Drosophila melanogaster: one gene and its partners. The protein of the gene in region 4 purifies or fractionates together with the protein of the main gene of each other region. This does not show direct contact. Each region holds a gene or a part of one and is shown on either strand. Other genes may lie near its edges.

Region 1 (7,542 bases), on a different chromosome or scaffold from region 4:
TGACGCTGTTCTAAAGCCGAAAAACTGTGATTCATTTAAGTCACGGCAAACTGGGTCAAGTGTGGGTTGATGCGGTTCCCGCATTGTAGTATCAACGACCACCAACTTGGAAGCTTTCGATCGCATTTCCTCTGAACTCTCTATTGATCTTTTTAAGGCTGTATCAAGTCCAACAGACGTCGGTTTGTCATTTGGCTGATGGACTAAATAATCATTTTGTTGAATTGTTTCTTTGGATTGAAACTCAGCCATAAACTCTGCAGTTTTGATTTTCATCTTCTCAGAAATCGGAATTGCCTTATTTGAGGCTGTGCGAAAGCCACAAAACTCGGGCTCTGCTATAGTATCGTTATTGAGAGGACTGAATTTTCCATTTATTTCTCCAACGTCAACTTTAGCTATTGCATTGTAGGTTTCCTTACCATCCAATATTTCGATGGGCTTGCTTGGGGCTGATTTGAATTCCGCACACTGTGTTGATTCCATTACTTGACTATGATTATCGGAGTATTCCTCAGTACGTAAGTTGCACTTGTGACTAAAGTGATATAGGCCGGATACAACTTTGTCTACAAACTCTTCGCCTTTAATTTTCATTTCTTCCGAAACCTCGATAAATTTGAAGGACTTCTTTCGAATGCCATTAAGTTGATGACTGCTTATGGTCTGACTTTTATTAGGAGTCTGCTTTTCTGGTTGCTCCTTGTCGTCCAGATTTATTGAATTGATGTTTTCTTTAGGCCCTTGAATTGCGTTTTTGGAGGTTGATGGGCCATTAGAGCACTGCATTGGTTGCCAATCATTAAAAAGAAACTCCTCAAGAAGCTCGCCGTCGTTCAATAGGTTTTCTTGCTCTGCAGCATTAGGCTGATCCAGAATAGTAGTTCCTTCGTTTTTCGTGTTAATATCACAAGATTGTTTTGAGGCTCCTCTAACCTTTGATGCATTTGAATCTTTGCTACTTTTTTGTTCTTTCTGGGAACTTGGCTCCAACTTTAACTTTTTATCGGGTATATGTTTGATTACATCTTTGGAGATCTCGGGCAGTTCCATCGGAGTTAGCCATTCACTTAGTGGTATGCCTTCTAATATGAAGTTTGTGTTCTCCTCTATGTCAACATTTTTTGCTTGCGTTTGGCCCATCAAAAGTTTCTTATTTTCAGCAATTTCGACATCAGCTTTTTTCAATGTAGAGTCTGCATCAGACCAAACATTACGTTTTCCACTTTCTATAAATAAGGGTTTATATTAATGAACTTCGCAACAACATAAATTGCATATGAATTACCCAATCGGAGGCGCGTAGTGGGAACCGATTGCATGCTATCGCCATAAATAGTGTCTGCCATAGTTCCTGGACCTACGTACATATAAAAGGAGTTACAAATGTGTTTCTTGCCATATCGATCCCACTCCCTACCTTCCTGCTCATGCTCATTTTCATAGAAAGAGGCCTCAAATGTAAATCCGCTCTGCAACAGGTCATCCCTCAAGTTCTCCAATTCAGCGTTGAAACACTCGTCACCAGAATCCTGCCTTGCTTCGGTTGGCAGATCTATTTGCGATGGGACAGGAGTCGGACCGGAAGCTGTCGCGGTCGCGGAAAAGTATTGACTGAGGTTCAAAAGGACCTCGTGTATCTTCTGTGATGAAGCATCGAAATCACAAGCCATAGATGTGAACGAAGTATTGAGATCCCTCTGCACGGAGAGGCCTGAGGAACCTCTACGCTTCTCGTTTTGAACGGCCTTGTGGCTTTTGGGATCCCTCTTCCGGCTGTAGGTTCTGATCCTTTTGTTGCGAAATCGAAACCACGGCTCCGACTCATGGCTGGGCTCATCCTCATCCTCTGCGTATGTTGGAGACGAGCAAAAGTCGCTCATGATCATCTCGACCTGGTCCTCGGGCGTGGGCTCTGCGTAGGACAAAATAAGATCCTCCACGGCGACGAAGTCGCTGTTGTCCACCGCAAGCCGCTCGTGACCCCGAGTCCGTCGAGCGATGGCGAAAGTCTGGCGATCGGCTTCGCATATTTTGGCCATTTCGTCGATAATGTTACTCCGATTTGCCGCCGCGGAAACTGTGGCGCCACGTTCGCGCGCATGGGCTCCTCTTCCTTGGGATAGCCTGTTCGGATGACTTCCCGATGCGCCATTCTGGTCCATCACGTCATCTAATTGTTTAAATGTGTTTTATTTGAAGTAAGCAAGTGTCCAATGCTTTTGTGGTTGCATTTCCAAAACAAGGGGTGCAGTGTTGGTAAGCGTTGCTTTGATGGCCATTATCCGCTAACTGTGGAGGGTGGACTTGCTAAGCAATCGGGAGCGAGAAAGTCATCGATGGTATGGCCAAGAACATGAAGGCCTCACGTATCGATGGCAGATGCATCGATGTTTTTTAACATCACTAATCACTAGTAGCGACAGTTTTTGCATAAAATACAATTAAATAATAAAGGGCCATCGCCGAAGCTGCAAAAACCAGGTTTTACACTGCTGCAATTGCTGAAGAGTCTAGTTTAGGTGCCACTCGAAAACAATACCGGAAAGTGTTACGCGAAAGCCCAGCAGAGCCCCAAAGAATCAGCCCAAAAGTGAAAGCCCCCAGAAAAAGTAAAGTACAAAAGAGCGAAAGGAAGAGCCAGAGAGGTAAAGAAAGAGAGAGCGAAGAGCGTTGAAAAGAGTCTGTGCGAGAGAAAAACGATTTTTTCAACTCCGCGAATCCTTGGTCATATTCCGTGTGCAAATCCTGGTAAGTGGGCATTCCGCTGGATTACGACTAGATTGGCCATAACGCAGATTCCCGACATCCCAGGTAAATCGGGAAGTGAAGTGAAATACTAGGACCAGGACAAGAACGCCGTCAAGATTCTCGGGCCCATCTACAGCGGTATCCAGATCCAGAGCCACGGCCACCAGGACGCAGAATCCACCTACAGCACCTACAGCACTCCACTAGCCGCCACCACGCTCCACAAACAGCCAGCAGCCATTATGTTCGTCAACTCCATGACGTTCCGCGGCAATCCGGCGAACTACCACCAGCAGCAGCCGGCCCTGAACCACCACACGCTGGCAGCGGCGCACCACCAGCAGCAGCTGCACCACCACGCCGCTGCAGCTGGTCACCTGAGCCACGTCGGCGGTGGGCACGCAGCCAGTAACCACCTGGCGGCCGCCGCTGTTCTCGGACGGCATGGCCACAACTCCCTGGGCAGCGGGCACACGTCCACGTCCTCGCACTCGGCCAATGTGGGCGTGGGAGTCGGCGGGGGAGCTCTGGCTAGCGGCTCCACTGGGGGCAGCGGAGGCAACAGCTCTCCGGACAGTGGCAAGATCTATATCAAGAACCTGGAGCGGTCCATCGACAACAAGGCGGTGTACGACACGTTCTCGGTGTTCGGAAACATCCTAAACTGCAATGTGGCCAAAGACGAGGATGGCAATTCACGCGGCTATGGGTTTGTGCATTTCGATTCGGAGGAGGCCGCCCGAGCGGCCATCGAGAAGGTGAATGGGATGCTGTGCAATAATCAGAAGGTGCATGTGGTCAAGTTCATACCACGGCGGGACCGGGAGCAGGAGAAGGCCACGCACTTCAAGAATCTGTATGTGAAGAACCTCAGCGAGGAGTTCACCGAGCAGCATTTGCGCGAGATGTTCGAGCCCTACGGCCGCATCACCAGTCACAAGGTACGTTGTTTGGTCACCTCATCTTCCCTACGGGGATGTTCGTGGGGCCGGGTGGTTGGACGACAACCATGTGGCACAGTTTTGCACTCTCTTAAGTCCTCTCTTGCGCCATTGCTGCGCATGCCCATGTAGCCACGAGGAGTTTGTGACGGCGGGGAAGATGAGGACTCCACCTGGCCCATCTGTGCTAATTTGTTTATATCATCGATTTGCTTTCTCCGATCCTTGCAGCTCATGCTGGACGAGGAGGGGCGCTCCCGGCGTTTCGGTTTCGTCGCCTACGAGAACCCACAGTCGGCGCTGGCCGCCGTAATTGGCCTGCACGGCAAGCAGCTGGGCGACAACAAGTTCTTGTACGTGGCAAGAGCCCTCAGCAAGGCCGAGCGGCAGCAGGAGATCAATCGCAAGCTGGAGGAGCGCAAGCGGCAGAAGGCCGGCCAGATATTCTACTACTAAGGCTTCGGCGGCGGCAGCTGATCCAAGGACATCGCTAGGAGTTGACTTGGAACCCACACACATACAATACACACCCATATATAAACCTATATAGATATTTACGAGAAATTGTATCGAGCAGCTAGGCGGACATTCAGGCAGCAGACGGACGGGAGGCAGCTCCTTCGCATATACACTTAGATGTAGGCAAAAGTCTTGCAACACAGTTGAAATTTATAGAAAGAACACAGGGCAGAAACAAAGGGAGGGAGAGGCAGAAAACGAGCTCTCAACCGAAAGGATTTTCTAGGCATTAGGACAACAATTTCTTAGCACTCACTAGCGTTTTTTTGGAATTAGATGTTTGTCTTTACTGTTGAATTTAGTGAGCAGGGGCTTTGCTGTCAGCTTCTCGCCTAAAGAACACATTGCGTACACACACGTATTTCGAAATGTATTTACCCACACAAGGCCAACTTTCACACTGGCCCCTTGGCATTAAGTCTAGATCGTGCGATCGCAACTAGAGCTACGCCCAGCTCAGTCCTGGGCAACATATGAATATTTACACTTACCTAATATATATGTATTAAAACCAAACTAAACCAAGAAACAAAGCAAAACGAAAACAAACAAAAAAAGAACAAAAAACAAAATGGAAAAACGGAAAAAATACAATTGATGTAACCCCTATTAACAAGTGAAGCACCCACTCCACGTATATACATAACATATACATATATCTAATGTAACTCCACACGCTGTAGTTAGAAAGCGTTTATAATACTCACAACTCCCTACGCTATAACTAAACTTTTGACGAGGAAATCAAGTGCAACCATTGCGAAAGCGAACCCTACACGTAATTTATAGAGTAGACGCCGATGCGGACGAGGAATAGGTCAGAGCTGGAGAGGAGAGATCCGATATGGAATTAGCAGGGGCCCAGCGCCTATCCTGCGGACAGTACATGAGTATTAAAATTTTAGCGATTACAAGACATTTTTGTAATTAATTGTACATTGTTTCAAGTAGCAGAAACTAAAGTGAAACCACAAAACAGGACAGCAAGACAGTAACGACCGTAATGTAACGTGAACAAGATGAAAGTGAAAAACTAATTGAATGTAACCAATCCAAGAAGAAGTGTACACAGTGCAATGTTTAAATCTTTTAGAATATTATTATGGATACAAGGCACGAAAGAAATCGCAAAATCGAAATAATTCAAAGCACGCTGTATGTAGGCAGGCGTGTGTACAAGTTTGAAATGAAAGCAAATACATGCATAATTTAAGATTATTGAGCTTAATTTTTAAAGTGTTTCCGAGAACAGAAAACGAGAGCAAAGTGAAAAGTAAGAGGAAATTATTAAGATACCCTACAACGCTAAACTCACTCGAAATTTGTAAGATTCAAGTTTTGCGTCTAGACATATACACAATGTATAGTTAAACAGTACCACACACAAAAGAGGAAAATTAAACGACATAAAATAGTTATAACGATGGCAATATTTAGGATGGCATAATTAACGAACCCTCATTTGACCATATTTATTTCCATTACACTTCATTTTGAGCTTAGGTTGCCCGCTCCCCGGGGAGCTGGCGATGTTACGACTCTAGTTTCCAGGACAAAGTAGGATTAGGCCTCCACAGTGTAACTCACACAGAACATATGCAATATGAATTTACAAGACAAGCAGGAGAAATTACGCAATTGAATAATATTTACACGAATGTACAAAACAAAAGAGAAAGAAATGAAATTTATTTTCCTTTGCCAAGCAAATGCAACATACTTCTTATTATTATTATTACGAATTATAATTGTAATCGAACTTCATCTTTGGTAATTGCTTTTGCAGAATTTACCTAAAAACAAAATAAACGAGAAACTAAGGAAAGAAACACCCAAGGATAACCCTTTTATAGTGCTAAATTTTTAGAGTACAAGAAATGTTTGTTCAGTCTCACAAAATTAATTGATAGTCCCATTTCGAGTCCCATTTTGAATCCCACACTCCACACCAAGTTTAATCAATTGTGCACGTTTGCTAATGAGACACCACCATGCCACACCACACACGACACCTGCATTCGAATCTACTCACAAGATCCTAGTTTATTTGAACCTTTGCTTGGACTGGGGCGTTTGTGCCCCTCGAAGTCCGATTTTAATGACTAGCGAACCCACAAGGAGCACAGATAATAGCGACACGGATGGCGTATAATATATGCATTATATATGTAATTCCATTGAAGCGAAATCCTAATTATAACATATTACGAATACCTACTTATTAACAAACCTAAAAACAATCGAAAATGAATAATGAAAAATGAAAAATGAAAAAGAACAAGAAACGGAAAACATTTAACGATGAAAATCAAGATGCAGTGAGCAGAGACATGTGAAACTTGAATAAAAAAATGCTTTTGCAAAAAGTGTTTGAAATTGCGACCCGTCGAGTTCTTAATTATAAACTTGATTTGATTTATCCTTAGTACATTTAAATGGGTGGTCGTCTCAATAGATCCCACTTGAAGCAAGCGATCTCCACAGCTAGCATCCCTATGCCGATCATGGTGCCTCCCAAGTAGGCAATCCAAACGTAGTACAGGTCGTGATAGGGCGATCGTGGTAGGGCGATGGCGCGGGATCCACGGTGTAGTTCAGTTTGTCTCCTCAGCAGAATCCAGGCAAACCAGAGCTAGCATTTTCCTGCTGACTCTTCCTTTAAGGTAGATACTTTGATTAGCATTGAAGTTCAGGTGTGGGTAGCGTTCAAGGTCGAAGTGCTCCCAGCAGACATCGTTCCCTCCAGCGCCTCCAAGGAAGAGTAAGGTTTCAAATGACAGCTCCAGCCTTAGAGAAACAAGGATTTTGTTCAGGTAAAGCACTTCTTGTTGGGCACAAGTGAAGCCCAAGCAAACCACTGTTTGCTATATTTAAATGGAACCGCATCTTAGAAGCAACGACTTCGGCATATTTCTGCAAAAGTTCTGGCTGGGCTGCATTTATAGGGCCGAAACTAGTTGGTAGTTGGGAGTTGGTAATAAATTTCCAATCACGGGCAAGACTAAATCTGTAACCATTAACCCGTGCAAATGAGAGAACGTTTAGCATTCATTCGTGGTAATGTGGCCTTTATTGGTAGTCTGGTTGGGGAGATACGAATAATCCGTTTAGAGTGAGGAGTTCCCCAAGTGCCACCTGTAGTGAGCTACCTCCAATAGGAGCGCCAGACAACTAATGATAGTTCCTCCCAGGAAGGCCAGCCACACGATACGAAAGTCGTTCCACTTGAGATCGCAGTACGGGTTACCCTCCTCCTCCTTGTACGAGATCTTCCCGAGAGCCACCAGTTCGTAGTAGCTGCGCCGGAACCAGTAATAGTACAGTCCGGTCT
Region 2 (5,516 bases), 8.3 Mb from region 4:
GATGCTGTGGGTCGCAAACGTGGTGGCAAGACCTTCGGTGGCCACTCGGAGCAAGAGAATACCCTTAACCAGCTTCTGGTGGAAATGGATGGCTTCAATACCACTACGAATGTGGTCGTACTGGCCGCCACTAATCGTGTTGATATTCTGGACAAGGCTCTCATGCGACCAGGTCGTTTCGATCGACAGATTTATGTACCAGCACCTGATATTAAGGGCAGGGCGAGCATCTTTAAGGTGCATCTGGGTAACCTGAAAACGTCGCTGGACAAGAACGAGCTGAGCAGAAAAATGGCTGCACTGACACCAGGCTTCACAGGCGCTGACATCGCGAATGTTTGCAACGAAGCTGCTTTGATTGCCGCCCGCGACTCCAAGGATTCGATCGTACTCAAGCACTTCGAGCAGGCCATTGAGCGTGTTATCGCTGGCATGGAGAAGAAGACCAATGTTCTGGCGCCGGAGGAAAAGCGAACGGTGGCACACCACGAGGCTGGCCATGCGGTGGCCGGTTGGTTCCTGGAGCACGCAGATCCCCTGCTGAAGGTCTCGATTATACCACGCGGCAAGGGTCTGGGCTACGCCCAGTATCTGCCCAAGGATCACTACTTGCTGTCCAAGGAGCAGTTGTTCGATCGCATGTGCATGACGCTCGGCGGACGTGTGGCCGAAGAGCTGTTCTTTAATCGCATTACCACTGGTGCTCAGGATGATCTAAAGAAGATCACCGATATTGCCTACTCCCAGGTGGTGCGTTTCGGCATGAACGAGAAGGTCGGGCAGGTCAGCTTCGATGTGGGCCAGGCCGGTGATCCCGTTTTCAGCAAACCATACTCGGAGGACACAGCGCAGCTGATCGACAACGAGGTGAGGTCGATTATCAAATGTGCCCACGAGGCCACCACTAGTCTGCTGACCAAGCACAAGGAGAATGTTCAAAAAGTGGCGGAAAGACTGCTCCAAAACGAAGTGCTCAGCCGTGATGATATGATTGAGCTGCTGGGCCCACGACCCTTCAAAGAGAAGTCAACCTACGAGGAGTTCGTCGAGGGTACCGGCTCCTTCGAGGAGGACACCACTCTGCCCGAAGGCCTCAAGAGCTGGAACAAGGAAAAGGAACGAACGGAGCCTCTGGACGCTGGCAGCACGCCATCATCGCCGCCCACCAAGCCCGTAACTGCCCAGAGCAGTTAGGCAACGATCTTCGCTCATGTGGATGGGGAGTTTTGGTGTGGTAGTTCGAGGGTGCCGACATCTGTTTGTTTTTGTTGTAATCCCTAAACGCGGACCGGAGAAAACCCCGACATGTGGCAGATCGAGAAGGCAGGGCTCAAGGAGTTCCTAGACCTTCTGGAGTTACAGTTCTCCACGACGCGTTCATTATTGTTTTTGCATAATTTTAAGATACCCACATGGATAACTTGTTCCCGTGTTGAGCAATTAAGTGCTAGCCTGTACTAAATTCCCCGTATGCGTAGTTTCAAAATGGCAATAAAGAATGGAAATGACCTGTCAGTGTGGAAAAGCGAAATTAAACGATGTTATCAAGGCGAAAAATAATCGAATCAGTGTTGTTACTGCCTTACGGTTTAAACCCGTTTTCGAAAACAGCAAAAGTTGCAAAATACATACAATGTATTGCTTCATTATGTATATTTCATACAATAAAATGTTATGATAACATTGGAATGCAAAATTTGTTCTTAACTTTGGGATAGCCAGCTTTATTCTTAAGTTGACTGATAGTGCCAGGTTAAAATTTTTTTCAGTGTGAGCTTTTAAAGCTGCACGCGGTTTAAGAGAGTGCCGCTCTCTTCGGTAAGCTTTCTCCGCAAACTTTCGCCGGCTACTCTTCCTCGCTGCGGCTTATCACTTATCAGCTGTGATGCTGAAGTACATGCGCCATGTGCAGCCGGTAAATAGTGCAACTGCCGCAGTCGGCGCCTCTGCCGGTGCAAAGCTCCGTAGGGGCAGCACCAGCGGCAACAACAACAGCAGCAACAGCAGCGAAGGCAGAGAGTGCAGCAGTGCAGTCGACGTCGCTGCCGCCGGTCGTTTTGGGGCCGTCAGTTGGGTTTTGGGGTCTCGCCGCTCAGTGTCGTCTTGTTGGTTGTCGCGTTCGTGTGCGCGCACTGAGAAAAGCGGAACGCCAGCGTTGCACTAACCGTTGCAGTTTCTATATTACTCTCGAGTCGCCCGATTTCAGAGCTGTTCGTACCGCTCGTGGGAGTGCGTGCGTTTTAACCAAAACAACTACCAAATCGCGTACAAGATACCAAACCAATATAACCGAGAGGCCCGAAAGGAAAACCCCTGCTGTGGAGGGCATTTTGCATTTTGTTTACCTCGATGGCTGTGTGGAGTGCAATTTGACGATTATATAATATAAAATACAAAATACAAAAAATAGGGAAAACGAGTAACAGTGCGCGGCATTCGATTTTAATTGCAATCAACTACAATAACCGCTGAAGTAGAGGAGTTAAAGCGCAAACCTCTCCCTCGCACCCCCGCCCTCCCTCTCACTCACACTCACTAACACATTGCGTTTGTGTTGATCTTTCCTGCAAAATGGCTGCCGGCCGGCAAAATAACGGCAACATCCATACTTGATCGATAGAAAGAGAGCGGCAGAGAATCCCTAGCGATTTCATGTTTGATTTATTGGATTTTATTTTTCCTGAGACTTTCCTTTAGGCTTCTTGTTTGATTTCTTAGAAAATTAAAATTATGTATTTATGACAAATGGTGACCATTAGGATGAACAGAACAAGGAGGAGAATTTAATGCTAATGTTTATTTATTTTGTCAAGAAAATTATATTTAAATTTGTTTTGCCATTTGCATTTATTCTGCTTTAAGATAGGAAGCAAAATATCTCTTATCAATTAGTGTAAAATCAATCAACAAACACGTGTATTACATAAAATTTAAATTTGATTAATATTTTCGTTCCTTTTATTAGAGATCTTCGTTGTGATCACTTTTATAAAATGGCTGACATCGGTAACGGTAACTTCGATTACTGATCAATCGAGCGCCCCCTGTCGGCGATTCTCTTAGCTCTGTTTTAGTTTATCGTTTATTTTGTTTTATTTTGTGCTGCCAATTGTCGCAATTGCAATTGTCGGGTCACGTGTTTGTTGCTGCCGCCAGTTAACTTCTGCTCTCGTTGTAACGGTGCATGTTCCCTGTGCGGGTGTGTGTGTGCTGATGTACGATTGTGTGTGTGCGTGTCTGTTCGTGAAAGCTTGCATGCTGCGCGTTATTATATTGTTGCTGGCGTTGTTGTAATTTTTGTTGAGGGAGTCACTGCATGCAATGTTCTTCTTGCCCTTTCGCACCTCCCTATCTATCTATCTCTGTCTTTTTCTATTATTTGTTGTTGCTTTTACTGCTGTTGTGGGTGTGGGAAAAATCAAGGCGCGTATTAAGCACAGAAAATGCAAAAAAGAACACACACAAAATATAGGAAAGCGAATAATTTCGGAGAGAAAGCAACGGAAAATAATTGCTTTAACAAGCAAAAGTTCAAAGCTATAAAATTTGGATGCCAGCATTTTTGAATTTCCGAAAAATTGTTCGGGAAACCAAGGTGTTTCTGGCGTAAAAAAAAGTGTCACTTAAAACCTTTTTAATGTTAAAAATCGTTCAGATTATTTAACAACGATGGGAATTTATGAAATTAGTAGAGAGCTTTTTACTAAATATTTGGAATTTTATAATTATTACACAAGCTCACAATAAGTAAACACGTATACTTATAATTTTTGAAAAACATTTGGATCTTTAACCTTTTATATTTAGTTTTCTTAATTTTTTATGAGACGCCTATTCTAAGAAAATTAATTTGATGGCTCATGCCATATGTGTAAAGTGAGTCAAATTTATTTCAAACAAAGATCTTTTACAGTCTTAGTACCGCATCCCAATTGTCACTCAGCCGTTACTTAACCGCCCCCCTTTTCCCACCCGTTCCTCACCTGGCTTTTCCACGGTTTTCCTCCCTCTCTCTCTCTATCGCTCCCACATCGGTTGCACTTTTTTGCATTTTACGATTGTTCGTTGCGAATCATTGCATTTTAGGGGGTGGGTGGGGGTGGTGCAGCAGCTGCGGATGGGTGGGAAAGCGAGGAGTGGCGAGGGGGAGCGAGTGAAGGGGAAAATTGCATTTTCAAAAGTTTCCCTGGGCAAAGTTTAAAATTGCAATTTAATTAATTTTCACCAAACACAACGAAACAGATCTTTTGCAGTAATATGTTGCCTTCAAATCAATTGGGAAACCAACAACCAAAGTTAACGCAACGTTTCTAAAACTTAAAGTCTAAACAACAAACGAAATAATAGTTACGAAATACACAATAATATTTAAACCAAACCAAAAGTGGCCTGCAAAACGAAGCAACCAAAACAACCAAAACAACCAAGAAATGTGATTCAATGTGTGCAATGTAACCAAATTATAATTAACAAGCTAAATAAAACGATAACTAGAGCAGGAGAAAAGCCGTGGAAAATCAGCGGGAAAGCCAACCAAAGCCAGGCCAAATGGAAAACAAGGAATCCGGCAGCCAATCGAACAGCCAACTAGCAGCCATCGTGGCCAATGATTAAGGGAACACTCTGTTAGCCAACTCGTAGTAGCAGCATCCCCCGTCCACACATAACACCCAGTAACACAGCCACTCAGCCGCACAGAACCACTCGACCTCCCCTCGCATCTCGATGCTCGCACAGAAGGCGTTGGAGCAACAATTATAGAATAGACAGCCAGACGACCACATCAGCTCAGCTCAGCCCCAACTGCAAACTCCAATCACCAGCTCCAGCTCCAACTCAATCTCAATCCCGAGCCAAAACCCCCAACATGGACATCAAGATTGAGCAGCAGCAGCAGCAACAGCAAGTGGAGCTGGGACCCTGTTCCCCCTCGGAGGTGCCCAATGATCCCGGGTAAGTGTGCTGCTCTTATATGTACATGTATACCCTAGCGAAAGGGTATCTCAGAAAGTAGAGAATATATTTTAATCAACTTGAGAAGAAAAAGATTTACTTCGATTTATTTATATTACTTTCGCTCTACAAGCACTAAAAATCACCATCCTTAAAAGGATGTGCGAAATTTATATTTCAGTTCTGTAAATCATAATTAAAATATATTTTCCTAAGACCCTAACTTAGATTTTTCGAGAAAAGGGCATTCAAACTTCGCATTGTCGAGTTGGACGAGAACTTTTTTATTTAGTTTGAGGTCATGGACGTGGCATTAATTGTTTAAGTTTTAAGTTTGTCATTATTGAAGCGCAGGGCGCCGGAAGCGAATGGAGCGTGTCCTGGGGAGCGGTGTCAAGGCAGTTATAGTTGTTGACAGAAAGTTTTCTATGTCAACTGGGTCCGGAACTGGCCGAAAGCGGCCAGAAATGGACGATGGCCCAGCTGGGGATCCAAGTCTGCGAAACTAATTAGAAAACAATTTGCCAAGGACATCAAAATTCAATTAAAGCCATTCGGCTTAG
Region 3 (5,502 bases), 7.3 Mb from region 4:
GTCCATCTCAACTCACCCAGGCACTTCACATGCATATAACCATTAACAGATATAAATCAATATATGTATGTAATAACCAATGACAAATGTTTAGAAGAGTTTCGATTTTTGTTTGGATTTTAAGCAGACCCGAAAAGAAAACAATTGTATACACAGAAACAACACCCATGAAGCCCCTGAGTACGGAGAGCCCACTGGAGCTCCTGGCATCGCATTGCGATTTCCCGGAGTCCTTTTGGGCGGCGGAGTAATTCCGAAGTAATTCCCGTCTACCAAGACGGACACACAAAACAAAGAAAAACTCTATAAGAATCCCCGAAAGCAACAGACGGCTAATGAGAGTATATATATATATGAACCGTATATAAACAATAATATTACTAATTAATTTAATGATTAATTGCACCCCGAAAATACATAATTATTTAAATAAATAAATAAAAACAAAACCAACGTGTTTTCTAAAGCTGGGTAAGCATATTGATTGAAGTAGGTGGGTATTTAAATGAAAACAATAACTTCATTGTTTTAAATATTAATTATGTGGAAATTTCCCAATGCTGACATGTTCTCCAAGCTCGTGAACCAGATTAACTCCCAAATTGGGCGACAAAGGATGCGCTGCCTAAAAATAGGAGCACACAAAAAGTGTAGCATACTATCCAGCGCACTAAACTGCGCACTTGGTCTGCATACATAAATACCAATTGGGGCGCAGACAGCGTGCAAACAGGGTAATGGAAATAGAAACCCGTCTGCGGTGGGGAGCCTACGCTTATGTCAGACAAGTGGGGGAGCACCAGGCGCCTATTTACCACACACACACACACACTTGCCACACCTGATTAAAATCTATTGACAATGCAGGCGACGCGAAATTGGAGCGGCGCTAACAAGGCTCCACAAAGGAATCGATGGCCCCTGCGACGGAACAGGACCAAAGCCGCCCGGCAACCAGCACTTAATGAAACCCAATTACCGCAGGTGTCCGCCAGGCAAATCCTGGCGGCGGATGGCAAACAATAACAGCTGCTGCCGCAGCACCTGCAAATTTTATTTGCATTTTCCTGCCATTCTAACACCTCCCAACTTTTTCCCAGGGGTATATTGGTTTCTATTAGAAACTTGCTATTCAAATAGTTGGTGTTCTACAAATTTTATAGATTTAAATTGCGAGTTCCACTCGTATGTATACTTGATATGTGCTAACATATTTAAAAATCGATTTGAAAAATGCATAATTGTAAGTCCCTGCATTCCTGGTAACTCTGAGGTCTCAACTCGCAGTCAACGAAAAATCACTTGTTTATTGTTATCAACTTCGATGCCATTTCCCGGCAAGGACATGCGCAAACACCCCCACTTCCGCCCACATCACTTGGCCATCATCCCCTCTGCGACACCAAGGATTAGGGAAAGGAAAAGCAGAAGGGACACATCTCCGAGTGGAGCAGAGTGGCGTATAAATACCACGCAGCTCGTGCGCACAGCCTCAGTTGGCGGACCGTGTTGCTCGCGATTCCCTTTTCCCAGTCGCTGCGTCCGCAGGTGAGAGTTCATCCGGGAAACGGCCAACTGTTGCCAGTTGCACTCGGCGGGTGGCGCGCTGCAGGGAGCAGTATAACGGCCCCAATTACTGCCCCAACTGCAGCAAATTACGGGTGTGAATTTGATTAATTGCCTTGAAAAGCGATTGTGAGCAGAGCAGAAGTGACTGTAAGCCGGGGATTTGATATAACGACTTGTATGTAAAGTTGACCCCATTTCCGCTTTAATTGGCCATAACAACACAAAGTAAGTAGTGCTCTTCGTACGATTTGTACTATAAGTAAAGTTATTGCTACTTCCGAAAGCATGGTAGTATTTAAAGTATTATTTTGGAATTCTAGTTCCACATTCAAGGACAATCTATCATATACAATACAAATCTTTAGAATATGCGATTTATAATTATACAGCATAAAAGCGATGCCAAACTACAGTAAAAATGTTATGCTAACATATCATATCCAAGATTATATTATGTTTCATCAATCTGGCCAGTTAAATATACAAATGTATAAAATGTGAAAAAAACATATAACCTTAAAATCACTGGTGTAACGGTGTTTCAATCCTTCTACTGCACACACTGCACTTACCCCTATTTCCAACACTGTCGTGCAGAGGAGCCCCAATCGAGTGGCACTGGGGGTGAGTGCTGGCGAGAACAAAACTGGTTGCCAGTCGGGTCGGCGGCTGGTCAATCATATGGCGAGAATAGTGGTTAAAGCCACCCCTGGCGTGGCAGCTTTATCGGGGGTTGCATGTGGTGTTGGGATTGCACGGTGTGCCGAGTGTATCCGATTCCGACTTCTATTCCGAATCCGAATCGGCGGACCTGGTCTCGAATTCGGAAACGCAATCGGTGGCTCGCGCACAGTCAGTCTGCAAACTTCGGAGCGTGCGGTTGTCAAGTTTCGGTCGTCTGCGTGTTTTCTCTTTCCCGATTTCAGCACTCTTCCCGCACACACACACACAGCACTCGCCACACACACACACACACACGGACGCAGACACAGGAAGAAGAGTGAGAGAGGGTGGAGCGGAGAGGAGGCGACTTTCGCTCGAATTTCTCGCTTGTTGTTATTGCTGCTGCCTGCTGCTGTTGCCGTTGTTGCTGTGGCCGTAGTGTATATACCCACTGTGTGACTCCACAGTGTGCGTGTGTTTTTTCCTGAAAGTTCGAATTCTCTTTTTCCGCCTGCTTGAATCAGACTCGGGTTCGGATTCAGAATCGAAATCGATAGTCACCAACCAACTAACCAGCCAGCCAACTAACCAATCAACCAACCAAAGTCACCATGGCCGACAACAATAACTGCCCAAAGTGCAAAAAATCGATCGCCGCCAAGGAGGCCACGAGCATCGGGTGCAGCGGCGAGGACTGCCGGAGAAGGTACCACCGCACGTGCGTCAACATCGACGACGCGGTCTTCGAGGCGATCCAGAAGAACTCGATGATATCCTTTCACTGCGACGAGTGCAAAAACCAGTCGCCACGAGCCTTCGCGGCCAAGCTGCACACCATCGAGGAAAAGGTCAATAAGGTGTGCAACGGGGTCAACCAGATCCAGGGCCGTATGTACCAGCAGTACTTCCAGTTTGGCAACCAGCCGCTTCAGGCATTGGGCGCCTCGGCCGCCGGCGTGGGTGGCGGCGGCCTGGGTGGCGGACTGGACGGGAAGAAGCATCCGCAGCAGAACAACCTCATTGTGGTAGGAAACAATTGTAACTCCGACCGACTGCAAGTGGTCTGCGACTACGGGCGCTGGGTGCAGGTGGGCAAGTTCGCCACGAACACCAGCGAGGAGGACGTGATCGATCACCTGGCCGAGGAGCTGAAGATCAACAAGAACCTGGTCAAGTGCACCAAGCTGGTGAAGAACGATGCCAACCTGTCGCAGTTGTCGTACTGCAAGTTCAAGATCTCCATTCCGGACTACCGCTTCAACGAGCTCTTCAACGAGGCCATCTGGCCCAGCGGCGTGATGGTCAGTCCCTTCACTCCGCGCTCCCAGCTCAACCAGAATCGCCTCTAGAGGAACGGGCCCGGCAGCCGGGAGAGCGGTGACCGGGCGAGGGTGAAGCAGGAGCATAGGACAGGCTGAGCAGGATGAGGAGGATGAGCAGCTGGAGAGCAGGTAGCCAAGGGAGAGAGTGCGCCTGCGCAGGGAGCGGATGAATGATTACGAGCAGCAGCAGCAGGAGGAGGAGGAAGAGGAGGAACTGCATCGCGGCCTGGCAAACAAGGGTTGCTATACGGACTGCAGCACACCGCGGATTCCCCCGAGTGCGCCGACTTGGGCTGATTGATGGAGCAGCAGACGGAGGAGCAACTATGTGCCCCCATTGTATGCTAATTTTCGACACTCGAAAACATTGTCTAGATCTTTAAAAGCTTACAGAACCTATCTAATGGAAAACCAAGAGCATATTTATTGAATTAACTTTGAAAATGCATTTTAAAATGTTTTAGCGTTGCGTAAATAACGAAATGAAATCGATAAAGAAAACCAAAAGTATTTTAATGGCAAACTCACAAGTAAAATAGATGTGAAGCAAAAAATATTAGTCATTTATGCATTACTGTCGTACTTAAATTAAAGTAAACCGAAAACAAAACGAGAAAACTAAGGAAACCAACTAAACGTACTTAAAGAGACACTCACACACACACACACACACACACACACACCGAAAGCGGTTATTCAGGCGCGTATTTAAACCATTTACCAATCAAACATTCAACCCAGTCAATCCAGGCACCGAGGTTCTCCCTTCATCTTCATTTTCCAACTCACTTCCGGGGTGTGGGGATCCTACGGATCGACCAGACCTACGGAGATTCTACTACGACGCGTGTGCGACTACCTATCACATTAAGTACTTAACCGTAACCAATATCAAAACCTATATTCAAGCAGACGACGGCTTATATTGTATTCGTATATGTATGTAGTTTGAGGCATTTTCAAAGCTTGTTCCTGTTCCCAAAGACGTTTGGACATTTTGCGAACCACTGCACAGGACACTGGCCAGCAGCTAGACCCATTCAGATTCAGATCGAAAGTATATATATATATGCATTTGCGTTTTCGACGGCCGGCACTCCCAGTTGGGATGTCCGCCGGCCCGGATGGCAGTTATCACAGTTACCACACACGTTCCACACGGACAGGACTAGAGACGAAACTAGAGGAAACGAAGCTGGGCAAATCCGTTGCAATAATAACTCACTGACCGAGTATAATGGATGTACATTTCGTAATTGATCTATTTTTTTACACCGATCCGACAGCAATATTTTCCGTGGACTCCACGCCAGCGATCCGAACAGAACCGTAGATATTTACGCAAGAGTCAGCAAACGAAATGTAAAACACATATATTATATATTTAGTATACAACAATATGCATGCATGTATTTATGTCAACTTTTTCAATAAATTCTACAAAACTTAAATACCAAACAACCATTCGAGGGGATTGATCTTTGGGTCATCTATGGGCAGATCTGTAAGGATAACGTTTACTATACTTGCAAAGGACGTGTTCTTTCGCATTCTTTACAGATTCAAGATTCAGCAGAATGGCCAACTCCAAGCGAAAGCTGCCCACGAAACCCAGTGCCACAGAGGACGCTACTCCGCACAAAGATACACCTAGGTCGTCGGAAGAATTCCCCACAGATGTAAATCACAAGAGTGCCAAGAAGTCCTTCCTTCCTCAAAACGCATTCTTTCGAGATTGCCTCGGTCACGATCTGAGCAACTTCACTAGCCTGACCAACTTTACCAGCTGGCTAAACAGACCCGTAGATGGAGCTGCCCTGGGCATCTTCCGTCTGCTCTACGGAGCAGCCATGCTGATTGACATCGCAGAGGAGCGAGGTGGCGGCCAGCTGGACGTGCGGTTTCAGGAGCCGCTACACTGCCACTTTCCACTGTTCAACGGGATGCG
Region 4 (5,552 bases):
CAATGTCCCGTGCCCAGGTGCCAGCCTCCAGGCCCTCCATCTCCTCATTTAGTTTGCCATGGAAGGCGAACAGGGTGATGCCCTCCTCATCGGGAATTGAGACCTCGAATCCCTTGGGATAGAAAACATCGATCTTAGCCTTGGGTACTTCATACCCCTGAACGCCAAGGAGCAGGAACAGCAGTTGGAGGCAGCAGCTCCAGGCCACAAAGCGCAATGCATCCGCCATTGTGGGAATACCAATTAAAACTGCGATGAGCGGTCAGACAACTCGGACTTGAAAATCTGAGAATCTTATCAAGAACCGGTCGAGGCTTGTTTGTTAAAGGTGCACTGCAAAAAAGTACACACCGTAAAGTGCTATCGCAGATTCTAAAGTCTAAAGCCTATGTTGAAGCAAGTATGTGCCATCGTAGCTAAAAATAACAATGGGCGATTTAATCAAGAAAATAAAAAGTAAAATACAATAATTTTGGTGTTTTTATATATAAATATCTTTAATGGTAGTATTTTCTAAGTGTAATATTTATTTGAGATTTTTTTGCCAATGTTTAGAGAAGAGCGACAACACTCCCACAAGAAGAATTTGGGATTTACCCAATCACAGCCATTGAGAGTAAGCTTTTAGAAGTATGAGTAAGAATAAAGAAGAACATACGGACAAAATGTACAACCTTCTATTAAAGATGATTTTAGAGATTTTAAAAAGCCCGCTTAATAAACAGCGAAGTTGCCCAACTCTAACGTGTCAGCTGTTTGTGGTATTGTGGTATATCGATAACTTTGCTTGCGGTATATCGCTGTAGTAATAAGGGCATAAGGGCATATCAGTGAAAGATTAAATTTTTTTGTTAATAGTTTCCATTGTTGCCATTAGGTAAATATTTAAACAATACTTCTATTCTGAAATAATAAGCTTCGCCGTGTAGCAGGCGACGAATTTCGATGAAATTCTGAGTCTCGTCCGTTTCCTTGTCTTATTAGCTTTCGTTCTCTCGATAGAAAAATTTGTAGAAAATATCACACACGGGAAAAAACAAAAACATGAACATATTTTTGTAAAATATTTAATTAGCGAGAAGGACACAGCGTACACGTATATTTTGTGGTTTCGCATGTTGTTCGTCAGTGTTTTTGTGCAATTATTTGAAAGATTTGGCCAAACGCGAAACGCAACAGAAAGAGGAGAACACAATAAGACAATAACAAATTCGCAGCGCGTGTGTCGTTGAATGTGCGTGGTTGTGTGCGTTTGTGCTGCTGCCAAAAGAACGCGGATATAAACAAATATCCATTTGGATCGTTGGAGCTGTTTTGTTATTGTAAGTAATGCAGATTTATGTAATTCACTTGTGTGTGTGCTCTTTTTGACCAGTCTTTGTTGTTGTTTCTGCGCTATGAAAACAGCTGTGGCGTTGCCAGACAACATAGCGCTTTATATAATTTTCTATAGGGCTGAATTACACATAATTGCTGTGCTTAGCTTAATTATTACAACATTGGGGCCATTATTTATTTTCCTTGCTAATTACGAGTGACATGTAAAGTTATCGATAAATCGATTGGCTCGTTGGATGGTTTGTTATGGCAGAAGGGGTTCCAAACAACGCACTATAGGCTGAATGGTACCTTTTTGTGGCCAAAACTCCATTCTGTAATTGAGTGTTGTAAATAGCGCTTTTAGGTATATTAGCTGAAACAAAAACTTATGTTTAACTTGAGATTTAAACTGAAAATAGAGAAATCTCAATAAAAAAACGAGTTAATTTAATATAAGGGGCGGTGCCACGACCAGAATTTTTGGTACTATAAAAGATATGGGCTAGTGTCACCCAATGCAAATAACATAAACAAAATATCTCTCCGATTTAAAGTTATTAATTTTGGCCACAAAAAGGTACCATTAAGCCTACAGTGCATCGCACGAAAGCAAAACAAGCGAGAATGATTGATTTTTCGTCGTGCGTCTTCGGGCGAGTGGCAGCTTCGTGGAAAAGCGGGCAGCAGTGAAAACTTTTGGCATCACAGTCGTTGCTGACGAGCGGAAGGGACCGCAGCTCGGGAAAATCAGGAAAGAAAACAACGCGTCAGGGCGCTCTTCTTAAATTTGAAAATTAAATGCAACTAAATAGCGTAAATTAGTCAAAAGTGTAAATAGTTAAAATCGTTTTATAACCAAAAATTACCAGTGTAAATCGCTTATTAGTGCTGTGTTAAAAATAGTTACCGTTGTACGGAAAGAGAGAATCGAGTGCAAAGGAATTTTCCTACGTCACAGGCTGTGCGTTTGTGTGAGTGTGCACCCCCGGAAATGTAACACGCACACTGGCGCAGGAAAAACTTGCACCTGAAAGTTTTCGTCGTGTTTTCCATCTTCGTGCGCTCTCGGCATTCGACATAACACAAAAAAAAATAAATTGAATAACGCAGCAAAAGGTTAGTTATCCGCTATTCAGTGCACCTGTCAAAAATCCTATTTAAAATTCGGACTTATTTGCCCCAGTTTTTATCCAGGGCTGGCATTATCTACCGTCAGCGCGTGTGTATATTAAGTGAGTGTGCGTGCGAGTGTGTGTGTGTGAGAGAGTGTGTACGTAACCAATTGGAACTGGGGCAACTGGCAAATACGGCAACGAATCGGTGGAGCAAAGCAAACGCCGCAATAAACCCCTAAAAAATCTCCAACCCCGTGAAGCAAGCACGAGAAAAGCTGGCTGAAAGCTGCAACTTGGCCCAGTTACTTTGGCTCTAATTGCAGACGTGATAATAGAAGTGCACACAAAGCATAATATTTCCAGAGGGGTGGGTGTGGGACCAAAACCAAAAAGGGGAGAATAAAAAACAGCAGCAGCAGCATGACAAACAAAAACAAACTTCATTTGCCAAGAGCCTTTCAACCAAATTTGTTTGCACACTCATAGCTACAGATAGAGATACAAAGATACAATTGCATTTCAGTTGAAGATGAGCGGCTCTTCCACTTTTCTCGGTTTCTGAGCTCTCGAGTTGGTAAACAAAATTTCGAATTTTTTGGGGTGGCAGGTAGAATAACTGGTTTTATAAATTAACACTTGGCCACATTCAGGGGTAGTTTTTTAATGGGTTTCTTCGTATCACTTTAAAGCATTATCAACAAATACGAGTTAAGATTTACTATTCGCTGCTGCACACCCTAAATGGAAAAACTAAATAAATTTTGAAAACGATACAATAAAGAAATGTTAAATTCAATACCAACTAAAAAATACAGAAAACCAAAGATGTAAAAAAAAAGAAAAACTGATCTAGAAAATAACTCCTTAACTACTGCCAAGTATATTTTGTAGAAGAAGCTGTGAAACTTGGGAAAGTACCCCTAAAATAATGCCCCAATCCTAAGCCGCCGCTCTTTTTGAAGCTGAGCCAAGCAGTCTGTGCTTTTGGCGGCACATTACACTTGTTTACTTTTGAAGTGTGCGTGTGATACGCCTGTGTGTATGTGAGTGCTTCGTGGTGTGTGTGTGTGTGTGCGCTCCATGGGGGCGTTACTGTCTTTGTTGTTGTTATTGCTGTACGTCGTCGTCGTTCCTTCTTCGGCTATTTTTTGGGGGTCGCTCTCGTCTCGTTTGTAGGGCAAAATTGTGTATTGATTATGCCAGTTTTATTTTCCTTTTGTCTACATCCCCAGCCCAGTTTCAAAAACTGGAAAAGTGTGGGGCACCTGCGGTCTGTTTTTCATGCCCGACTGAGCCATTTCATTGGCACAGCGATTTCGTTGTCTCTCCGCATTTAACTAATTAAGAGCCTCTGTCTGCCCATCTCCCCCCTTTTTCAGAACAATAGACGTTTTCCGGTCGCTCAGCCCAAAATGAAGTGCGTGTCCAGGGACAGACGAAAAGCTTTAGAAATTGGATAGTTTAGTGCACTCAACGAAATTTTCAGATACTTTGCATATCTTATTTTTGGACTTAAAATGTAAGAAGCTTAAGAAGAAAACAATACATATCATATGTAAATGCTCCTTTAAGTAGGCAATATTTTGTTCAAAAACAGTTTTTTTTCGAGTATTTTGGAACAATACTTTATTTATGATTAAAATATTTTATTGAATTATTTATAATAATACTTTGACCACATTATAATAGTTTAATTTTGATTTAAATTGCATATTTTGAGAAACTAAACATAGCAATGTGTGGCACCTATTTCCCTCAGTGTTTCTATATGCTGCGCGTATTATATGCAAAACGGGTAGCATATTTGACCGACATCGGGAACAGCGGGCTCTGAAAATCGTTTGCCTCCGGGGGTGGCTTTTGTAATTGGAAAAGCGATCAATTGTAATCCCCCCACCAGGCGGGTTTTCACTTGACTAGCGCTACCAATTTAGAACTCGCTATACCCCATTATCAGGCCATATCTACACACTTTTATTACTCATGCACAAAATACGAAAGGCAAAAGTTTAGAATAGCACTTGTTTATTTGTTATTTTTGGCCCGTCGCTTGCCAAGTTTGCTTTTATCAATAATATGATTGATTGCTGTTCGGTTCCATTGTTTTTTTCTTTCACTTTTTTCCCACAACACGCATTGCACATTTTGTGACCCATTTTATCTTTGGCTTTTCGTTGTTAGCCCGATTAAAGAACGTGAATAGATAGGGAATTTCTTGTTGGCCATAAAAATAGCTCAGTCACATCGAAACGCAATTACCAATGCGCTCTGTGCAAACCGTCAGTTTCTAATAGCCAATTTAGAATTTAAAGTTCAATGGGATATATACATTTATCCCAGTTTTTTAAGCATATGCTTATTTAGTTGAATATATTAGTATTTTAATATACAATGTTTTGTCAGCATATTGGAGTGAAACTATTCACCCAATTTGTAACTTATATTTTCTTATAAATTTTCCTTTCATCGTTAAATGGTAAAATGCTCTGCGAAAATAAATTTTCTTTGAAATGATTTTCTGATGAGCTGGCGAAGATCGTCCAAACGGTCACTGGTAAAAATGTATTAAGGGTTTTAAAAATAGCAAAATAAAAATTAATGTCAAATAGCTATTGCTGCTGCTTTGGTCGCTTTGTTGTTGCTGCCACTGCTGCTTTTTTTTTCGCCTTTTCCCCGTACGATTTATTTATTTTTAAACGCAATTACGTGCGGCTCTAGTGCTGCGATGGCAAATGAGAAAGGGGGGGGGGGGGGGTGTTGTGCGGCGAAAAGTGGGCGTGTGGAGGAGGTGGAGGGGCTCGTTTCCCCCTAACAACACACGCATGACGTTGACATTTCGAAAACAGCAAGTGTTCAGGCCAAAATATGATCAACATATCGCCTGTCTACCTACCTACCTATATACCCGCCTAACGTTTCGTCTTTCTACTTCACTATCTTTTCATGTGCCGCTGATTGATGTTTGGGACACTCGGATTCCGATTGCGCGGCTCCACAACGATTCCGATTTCCACGTGCTCCAATTTTCACATTTTCCCATTTCCCCCATTTCCCATGAAGGGCATCTAGGGCAGCAGCGGAACTGAGGCGCAGCGGAGCCGCCCAAGTGCAGCTGTA

The links.
Region 1: the proteins of orb2 (region 4) and CG4612 purify together in Drosophila melanogaster (affinity purification with western blotting; 2 studies listed by BioGRID, with this or other methods). This does not show direct contact.
Region 2: the proteins of orb2 (region 4) and Rbp6 purify together in Drosophila melanogaster (affinity purification with western blotting; 2 studies listed by BioGRID, with this or other methods). This does not show direct contact.
Region 3: the proteins of orb2 (region 4) and CG13928 purify together in Drosophila melanogaster (affinity purification with western blotting; 3 studies listed by BioGRID, with this or other methods). This does not show direct contact.

What each region holds. Positions count from the first base shown.
Region 1 is NT_033778.4:24,520,924-24,528,465, reverse strand, and holds CG4612 (uncharacterized protein), read left to right. Parts: upstream 1-2,376; 5' UTR 2,377-2,751; intron 2,752-2,814; 5' UTR 2,815-2,993; coding exon 2,994-3,692; intron 3,693-3,923; coding exon 3,924-4,148; 3' UTR 4,149-6,592; downstream 6,593-7,542. Other genes in the region: Brca2 (BRCA2, DNA repair associated), read right to left, coding at 1-1,229, 1,289-1,360, 1,421-2,165; Ir60d (ionotropic receptor 60d), read right to left, coding at 7,319-7,542.
Region 2 is NT_037436.4:17,234,789-17,240,304, reverse strand, and holds the start of Rbp6 (RNA-binding protein 6), read left to right. Parts: upstream 1-2,092; 5' UTR 2,093-2,473; intron 2,474-4,242; 5' UTR 4,243-4,867; coding exon 4,868-4,953; intron 4,954-5,516. Other genes in the region: Afg3l2 (AFG3 like matrix AAA peptidase subunit 2), read left to right, coding at 1-1,194. UniProt on the Drosophila melanogaster protein: RNA binding protein that regulates the expression of target mRNAs at the translation level. May play a role in the proliferation and maintenance of stem cells in the central nervous system.
Region 3 is NT_037436.4:1,625,291-1,630,792, reverse strand, and holds CG13928 (uncharacterized protein), read left to right. Parts: upstream 1-2,415; 5' UTR 2,416-2,843; coding exon 2,844-3,581; 3' UTR 3,582-5,002; downstream 5,003-5,502. Other genes in the region: GC (gamma-glutamyl carboxylase), read left to right, coding at 5,132-5,502.
Region 4 is NT_037436.4:8,949,703-8,955,254, reverse strand, and holds the start of orb2 (orb2), read left to right. Parts: upstream 1-2,020; 5' UTR 2,021-2,436; intron 2,437-5,495; 5' UTR 5,496-5,552. Other genes in the region: GNBP3 (Gram-negative bacteria binding protein 3), read right to left, coding at 1-229. UniProt on the Drosophila melanogaster protein: RNA-binding protein involved in translational regulation and required for long-term memory. Required in mushroom body gamma neurons for long-term memory in male courtship. Binds to mRNA 3'-UTRs.